Linked DNA regions of Ovis aries. The protein of the gene in region 2 purifies or fractionates together with the protein of the main gene of each other region. This does not show direct contact. Links are inferred from orthologs where the notes say so. Each region holds a gene or a part of one and is shown on either strand. Other genes may lie near its edges.

Region 1 (4,333 bases), on a different chromosome or scaffold from region 2:
TTTTTCTAACTGAATAAGGTGGTACATATTTCCGGTTAAAAGACCATCTCTCCATTCAGATTCTCCAGAGAGAAAGCAAAGGCAAAGGTCTATGCAACCGCCTATTTGTAGGTACGATGGAAAGTGAACCTGTGGTGAGGACAGAATGTGTTTCCTCTAAAATGATCCTCATCAACATTCCCAACATGGTGCAGGGAGATCCCCCCCCCCCCCCCATATATTTTCGATTCTGTTCCTCTTCACACTAGGAGCAGGGTAAACAATTCACAAAGAGCTTTGCAAGAAACTGCTCCCTCTCGTTTCTAGTAAAGATCTGTTGTTGTTTTGAGAGAAAAAGAATCTACTTTGCCAAACATATTCTCCGAATCAGTTTTTCCCTTCATTGTGGAGATGCTTAAATCCTGACCTAAGAAGGATTCTCTTACAAATCTACCCATCAGGACTGTCAGTTCGGGTGGTTTCCACAAGGGATTTTCCAAAAGGGAATCTCTGTTCAACTGGAAACTGAAACTCACCATTAGCTGGACAAAAATCAAAAGCAATATTAGGGAACACTCTGAATATAAGAATGGATATCCAAGGAAATAAAATGCCAAAATTTAGTTCAAGAATTAAAAGAATTTACTAAGCAAGATCAACAGGGCAAATTTACCATTACTTAATAATTGATAATTAACTATACAGTTCTTTATAAATCAACATAAAATAAGCTGATTTCCAAAAATAGAAGAAATCAAGGCTAAGAGTATCAAGAACTCTGTGAGTCAAAGTCATTTTGCTTAGCAACACTTTAAAAGCCAAAAATGATCAAGTTACATTCCAGTAATTAAAAGTTATTTCTAATTTAAAATGAATTCATTCCCATAATGAATCACTACTTTAATATACGCTTTCTTCTACGACAGAACTGAAGCAGGAGCTCTGTATAGCCTTCCCAGGTGTGTCGGTGGTAAAGAATCCGCCCACCAGTGCAGCAGAGGCAGGTGAGAGAGCCCTGGGTCAGAAGATGCCCTGGGGGGAGGAAACGGCAACCCACTCCAGTATTCTTGTCTGGAGAATTCCACGGATTGGACTCTGGAGTCTGATGGACTAAAGTCCGCTGGGTCACAAAGAGCTGGACACAACTGAGCACGTATAAAGTCTCATTCCACCTTTTTAAGGGCAGATTTTCCCAAATGGGTAAGGTCTTTCCCTCAAACGACTGCTTGTTTTCTGTACTGCAGATTCTTTGAGTGAACTTTTTCCTACCTTAATGATGGTAGCTGTCCTTTTCACTGGCATTTATTTTGTTTCTAGACATTTATCTTCCTAGAGTGGGTAAAATCACAACAATCCACTTAGGAACTAACTGTTCTAAATCCTAAAGCTTCTGCAAAAGTCCACTATTTGTTTCTCTACTATACTTCATGACAATAATTATGAAGCAACAAACCTAACAAAAGCCTCAATGCAACACTTCCTAGGAGTGAAGGTATCTAATTAAACAGGCAGTAACAAACCTCAAACTTTCCTCTATTCCAAGTTTAAGAACCCTATCAATGATTCATTCACACAGCGAGTGACCTAACTTCCTCAATGAATCACACTTTCTGAAATTCTTATTCTACATGAGTATAATAGTCATCATCTCTACATGTGTTGAACACAGCATGAAGTTGGTTAAACTAAGTTAATTCTGTAAGACCTTCAAACCACAGCAACCTCAAGTTCCTGCCAAGTAACTTATCTGCAACACTTTGCCTTTTCCAACAATTGCACCTCTCCAAACAGATGCATCCCCAAAATAAACATTTAATCTTGAAACACTTATTTTAAACACTAATTAAGACCTGATTCATCCACACCCTGCCCTCCATCTCTCTGGTTCCACTACCGCATCCCCATTCTCCTCCCATTGTGATGCCGTGAAAAAGTAATGGACACTGTTATCCTCACACTTATCCTTCAATCAATGAACCTACACTACACTTTTTCTTTTTAGGGCATAAGTGCTGAGTCATTAAATGGAAACTCTAAGAAAAAAGAGCTACAAGCAGTTTAAGTTTAGGATCCCATTATTTCCCTGGCCAGGTCTCCACAGCCTGATATTTGTATATCCCACGGTAGAAAAACCAAAGCAAACACTTGAACTTTTTTTCCCCTCCCCGTCGAAGAAAGAACAAGAGATGGGTTTCCTTAGGTCCTTTGGCTTCCAGCAACATACCCACGGGCACGAGAAGCAGGCCCGGCTGGAGCTATATAACTTAACAATCTGGGTGTGAATAACGCCTGGCCGTAGTCAAGCATTAACCCTGACACTCCTAACAAGCGCTTGTTCTGCTCCTGCTTCATTCAGTTCGGGTCAAGGAGGAAGGGGAAAAAAAAAAAAAATCTCATACAAGCTCTACGCCCTCCACCAGCCTGACACCTTTCCCCGGGTGGCCGGCCGGGGACAGACCGAGGGAGTGGAGAGGGAGGAGGAGCCCTAGCACCCAAAGAGCAGAGACAGCGGCCCGAGTTCATTTCTCCCACAATGGAAGTATCGCCGTCCCCGCTCGCGGATCGAGGCTGCGCGTTCGAGACCCGGCGTGATGCCCGAGGACGCCGCAGGCAGGGGGCGACCTCGACCCCGGGGCCCGCTGGAGGGGGCCTGGCCCCCAGCAGAGGTCGGCGGCAGCGCGGACTTCGCCGAGCTGCAGAGGCCGGGAAGCGCGGGCCCCGCTCCCCGCCAAGGCTGGCGGGAGGAGCGGCCCTTACCTGTGTTCGGGCGCGGGCTGTGGCTGCGGGCGCCGCCGGGAAGGGCCGGAGCGCGGCTCGCCGACCGGGAGCCTGCCGGAGCTAAGGGCGAGGGGCGCGGAAGGTAGACTCGGTCCCAGGTCCCCGGCCAGGCGGGCCGGGCAGGACGCGGCGGCTCCCGGCGCCTACGGCCGGTCAGTCAGTCACGCCGGTGTCCCCTCGGCGCCGCGGCTGAGACAGCGGGAACCGGCCCCCGGGAGGAGCCGCAGCCCGAGCGGCGGGCGGCGGAGGCGGAGGAGGGGCGGGGCCACAGGGTCGGCGACCCGCTCACCCGGAAGTACTTGTGGTCGCGGCGGCGCGCGCTGCGCGACGGGCTTAACCCCCCGCGGCCGGCTGCGTGCCGCCGCAGAAGAGAGTGGGGACCCCGAGTAGGGTGGTGGCTGGGGCGGCCTCCTGAGGTGGTTCCTCCAGGTCCGCGCGGTCCACCCCGCCCCTCCGCCCCCAGGACGGGGGTCGGGAATGTGAACTGATGCGCGTGCCCGTTGGCGGCTACCCCTGCCTCGGTCACCTCTAAACTGTCCGGCCTAGAGGGCTTGGGTGAGTGGGCCGGGGCGGCAGTTCTAACCGTTGGAACGTAGGTGGGTGGGTGCGGCCGAAGCGCTGGAAGCTTTATTTCCAAAATGAATGATTTTGAAATGATTTCCGGTGAAGAATGCTGGGGGCGGGGCTGGGGGGAAAAGAGTCCGTTCAATATCTGATGGATTCGGAGCTGTCATTCAGTCCGAGAGTCTCAGTCGAGATCCACCGGCTTCAGGGCCCTGGAGAAAGACCAGAGGTCCTGCTCTTTGGGAAGCTCATCTTCTAGTGGGGTGGACGGATTTAAGCAAATAAGGTAATGACAGATTGCGGTGAGACTCCGCAGGTGATACACAAAGTGATGAGAGATCCTGTAGGCGAGACCTCTGGCAGGAGAAGACCTCCAGAGGGAAGTGGCAGTTGGGCAGCCTCCTGAGAAGAAGGCACAAAACACTTCGATACAACTTTACATCCGGGACAGTAGTAGGTTCCAGGACCCGCTGAATAAGCCCATGATTCCATGTTAAGAGCCTGGCTCGAATACCTTCTAAGGGCTGTTTGTGTGCTGCCCACCCCTGCGATTTCAGAAGGCTTGCTCACCTTTCAGAGTTCATGAGGGCTGGAGTGTGGCACTGCGAGGGAGGCGTGGATTACGGAACTGTGGTCTTTAGGCAGAGAGACACCAACAGGTGGCTTCATGGCAGGAGGATTCTCATACCATCAGCCTTGGAAAGACAAAGTCTCTAACCTCGCGCTCTTTCTCTTTCCATGTCGCTGTTTTTCTCAGACCTGTGAACAAATATTGAAACTTGTTTTTACCTGGGATCAAGAGGGGCTTAATGTCCCCAAAAGATCACACTATGTTACGATCTGAATAAAAGGATTAATTACGTGTTTTGCTAACTCAGTTAAACTAAAAAGCAGACTTGCAAGAGAGAACCTATTCAGGTACCTGAATAATACCAATAATCCAATAATGTTTATTAAGTATTAGTTTATATGACTGCATAATTAATGGAAAGACTGTTTGGAATGATATTAG
Region 2 (4,306 bases):
GCAGGATGGCCGAGTGGGGCAGAACAGACCAGGGGAAGGCACCATGGCCACAACTGACAGAAGGAGAAACAGGAGCCACCACTGCGGCTCCCTCTCTGCCCAATGTCTGTGTGGTGACACTTTGCCACTTCACGGTGGTCACTGAAGGGCCATCTCGGAAAGTGCAGAGCTCAGCTTTAACCCGACTCCAGAGGTGTGCCCTTCGCATCTCAGGGCTCCAACCTTAAATGGGAACGACCACTGGAATGGCCTGAACATCTGGGATGGGAGGTTCCATGGAGAACAGCAGGGGGAATGACCCATCCAGACCACCTCCCCTGCCCTGCCCTGCCCCAGCTTTATCACTGGGGATAAACCACAGGCAAGTGACCTGCCCCCTTGGTCAGTGTCCTCTCTGTGAACTTGGTGGAGGTTGGGATCACATGAAAGACCCTTGAGAAATAGCTGGAGTGCTGCTCAGCCAGGATCAGCTATCACAGCAGTTCAAAATGGATCAGACTTAGGTTTTTTCACCTTTTCTCCTACGTGTTTCTCAACTCAGGTCATTACTGCATGCTCTCTCCCCACAAACCCCTGACACCAGGGTGGACAGAGGGGTTGGCCTTGCCCCCAGTCCCCACCTTGACTTCTGCAGTCTTGGGCAGCACTCACCCGCAGCGATGGTAGGCTGGACAGCTCCCCATGCAGCGTGGTTAGGTTGTTGTGGCTCACGGACAGGTGTTCCTGGGCCGGCACAGGGTGTAGAGGCTCAGCAGGGTGGGCTGGGCGTCCACAGAGCCTCCACTGGCACCACAGCCTTCCCCTGTCCAAGGACCCTCCCACAGAGCCCCCATCCACCACCAGGGCCTTGCCCCACCCAGGGATCTTCCCACAGAGCCCCTATCTGCTACCACAGCCTTGCCCTACCCAGGCACCCTAGGCCACCCAGGTCCAGTCCACTCTTGCACCTTTCTTCTTTCACACACCTAGTCTTCTTGCATACCTCCCAGGACAGGGTGCTCATCCTCTCTCCACCAGTTCTGCTTGTGACAGGCAATGTCCTGCACAGGCTCTGTCCACCTGGCTAGCCCCATCCACCTGGACCCTCCCCTTCCTGTCCAAAGCTTCTTACCAGCTTCTGCAGGGAGGCCAACTCCTCTGGCAGGTAGCAAAGGCCGGTGCGGTTTAGCTTCAGCCATCGCAGGCTGGTCATGGCCTTGACGTTCTCAGGGAAGTAGCCACCCTGCGGGTACGTCACAGTGAGGCTGGTCTGGGACATGGTACCCTTGCTCTGCCACCTTGTGGCCCCCACTGTCTGTGGGAGCCTTTGGGGGCAATAGTCATTTCTAGTTGTGTGTGTGACCCCAGACACATCACTTGGCCACTCTGTCTCAGTTTTCTCACCCGTAGAATAGGGCTGATGAAAGCCCCCTGATGACAAAAGCGTCCTGAGAACCCACTGGTGATTAGGATGGCTGCTGACCTAAGCCCCGCCTCTCCTGCTGGCTTCTTGGCCCAGGAAGGCTTATTCTAGATGCCACCCCAGAGTCAGCTGTGAGGTCGGATCAACTCAATGTTTTTGCCTTGCATCCAGGCCCTGCCTGTGCAATTTGTTGAACTGCACTTTGTGCCTCTGCCAAGGCCCCACCTGTGCCCTGCCACCCACCCCCTGCATGAGGCCCCAGCTCCCCACCCTTTCCCACACAGGCATAGCTTATTCATTAGTTCACTCACCCATTCGTCCCCCAGACTCAAATGCCCACCTCAGGACCCCAGCCCCGTGGCCAGAAACCTGGGGAGGTTAATGCCTTCAGTGCTCTGGGCTAGTGCCCCTTCTCCCTACGGCCACATTCCCTGCTGGTGACTCACTCTCCTAGACTGAAGAGGACACTTGGGGACTCCAGGTGAGGACGGTGGGGATGGAGGCAGAGGAGTGTGCACGGTGGCAAGTGTGGGTAAATACAGGAAGAAAGGGCCTGTCTCCTCTGCCCTGACCCCAGCCACTGCCTGGACCACTGGACCCTGCAGACCCAGGCTGATGCTCCACTGACGCCAGCCAGGGTCAGCCCACTCATCCACCCTGAGGACCCTCCTGGAACCAGGCCATCTCTCAGGGCCTCCTCTCTGGTCACCAGCCCTCCGGCCTCACTCTCAGTTCTCAAGAACCACTGTCCCGCCCCGAGGCTGGGCTGGTGTTCCCAGCCGCCCTGGTCCGCCAGTTCGGAAGCTGCTCAGACAAATGGCACCCAGGGCCTCGCCCACCTGCCCAACACGTCCTCCACAACTAATCCCCGCCTCCAGGGGTTTCAAGGTAAGCCTCTCCACCAGACGAGAAGACGAGGCTCCGAGAGGGGAAGTGACTTGCCTAAGACCACACAGGATGGGGGTGGCGGGTGCGGGTAGCGCAGAGCCGGCGGCGTAACCATGAGTCAGGGCCCGGCTTGGGCTGTGACCTCACAGGGGCGGGGAGGGCTGGGGAGGCGCGAGCTCGAGCTCCGACCGGGACCCCCGGCCGGCCTGCTGGGGCCAGGCGCCAGGACCCAGCCGGTGAGCAGACCCCGCGCGCCCCTGCGCAGCTCCGGGACCCTACGCGCGCCCGCCCGCCCCGCCCGGCCTGGGCTGTCTTCGCGGGCGCCGGGCGGAGGCCTGGGACGTTGGGCCGGGGCGGGGTCCGGGCAAGCCCGTCCGCGGTCCCGGGCGCGCAGGAAGCGGAGGGGCGGGCTGGGGGTCCCGGCCGTCGCCCAGAGGCTCACCTTGAAGTCGTTGCCGCTGAGGTCCACGCCGCGCACGAACGGCAGCACCCCGGTGCCCTCCATGGCGGCGCTGGGCTGAGGGGAGAGGACCGCGGGCGGGGCCCGGCGCTCGGGGCGGGGACCGCGGAGCCGGCGGGGCGGGGAGCGCGTCGGCCCCGCCTCTCAGCCCGGGGCCGCTCGGGGCCAGCCCTGGGGCGCGGGGCCTCGAGGAGCGCTGTGTCCCGGTGCCCTAAAGGGCCTTCTCGGCCCCCGGCTGTTCCTGAGCTGGTCAACGCCGGGGACCTGGGTGGTTCGGGCGGCAGTGGCAGTAGGACGCCCGGGTCCTCGTCCGGAGCCACGAGCCTCCGGGAGACGCTCCGGGGCCAGTGCCCACACTCTTATGCGTCCTGGGTCGGAGGCCAGCCCGGGTGCGCGGTTACGTGCCCGCTTGCCCCTCGAGGGAGGCCTCCCTGGGCCGGCACATAGCGGTCCCAGTAAGTGACAGGACCAGTATACCCTTCACGGGAGAGGCGGCCGCAGACTACAGTGACCAGGAGCCCCACCGGATGCTTCCTTTGCCAGGAAGGAGCTCACGTTCCCACCTGCCGAGTCCTGGAGCGTGGCCCTGCGCCTTTAAGGCGGAGCTTGCCGAGGAGCCACGCCCCGAGGGGCGCTCGGCCGCCATTGGCCGAGGCCGCCTCAGGGCGGCACGTGGGCACTGGCCTTGAGCGCTCTGATTGGAGTCGGGGCCTGTCCGTCTGCGAGCCTGGGGCCCGTGCCCGCCCCAGGCCTTGGCGTTCGACTCCCGGGTCCTGCACGTTCCATTCCCAGGCGGCCCCGGGGCGCGGCCCGAGCGGCCCCCTGAGTCCCCTGGCTGGGGCGCCGAAGCCGCGACGCAGGTACGGCCGGGGCACGGGGCGTGGCCTCTATCGGCCGCGCGGTTCCGGCCGGGAGAGAACCGGCTCGAGCCGAGTTCTGGTCGCTTCTTGGGCCCATCCTGGCGTTCCCCGGGCCTCGGTGTCCTCGCGGCCGGGGCTTGGAGGAGGCTAGGGGAGGCGTGGCCTTTCCCTCTCCCCTTCCCTGGTTAGGGTCTGCGGGCCCCAGGTCAGACAGGCAGGGGCTTTGAGCGCTTTACAGTTTGGAGGCGGTTGGCAGTCCTGATGAAGGAAGCCGCCGCCGGGCCATGCTGGGTCAACCCCCTCCGCTGTCTTTCCTATTTTTAGCTTGGGAAAGGGGGATGGGTGCGGGGCTGCAGGCCCCACTTGGCAACCGGGCTCCGGCACCCGGTTCTGGGAGCAGGGCAGCCAGAAGTCATTGGGGCTGAGTTGGCTCTGAGCTCAGCGTCATCTGTTCAGGCATCCTCAGGGTGACAGTTCTGCCTGGCCATCTGACTGGTCCCTTGGGCTTGTCCCTTGGTCACACACCCCCCTCAGTGCTCAGGGCCTGAGAGCTGGGGCTCAGCCTGCAGGGCCTGGCAAAGATGCCTGAGGTCCCAGCCATCTGTACTTCTGGGTTCTGCATGTCTAATGGTTTCTCGTGGCACCTGCTCCATCTTACAGACAAGCTAAGAGTATCTGGCACACTCAGGCCCTCAG

What was found.
Region 1: the proteins of FLII (region 2) and LRRFIP2 purify together in Homo sapiens (affinity purification with mass spectrometry; 3 studies listed by BioGRID and IntAct, with this or other methods). This does not show direct contact. The link is inferred for Ovis aries from reciprocal best matches to the Homo sapiens genes FLII and LRRFIP2.

Annotation. Positions count from the first base shown.
Region 1 is NC_056072.1:10,384,455-10,388,787, reverse strand, and holds the start of LRRFIP2 (leucine-rich repeat flightless-interacting protein 2), read right to left. Parts: upstream 2,971-4,333; 5' UTR 2,737-2,970; intron 1-2,736. UniProt on the Homo sapiens protein: May function as activator of the canonical Wnt signaling pathway, in association with DVL3, upstream of CTNNB1/beta-catenin.
Region 2 is NC_056064.1:34,133,811-34,138,116, reverse strand, and holds the start of FLII (protein flightless-1 homolog), read right to left. Parts: upstream 2,824-4,306; 5' UTR 2,796-2,823; coding exon 2,733-2,795; intron 2,527-2,732; exon of another isoform or gene 2,422-2,526; intron 1,223-2,421; coding exon 1,112-1,222; intron 762-1,111; coding exon of another isoform or gene 724-761; coding exon 652-723; intron 1-651. UniProt on the Homo sapiens protein: Is a regulator of actin polymerization, required for proper myofibril organization and regulation of the length of sarcomeric thin filaments. It also plays a role in the assembly of cardiomyocyte cell adhesion complexes.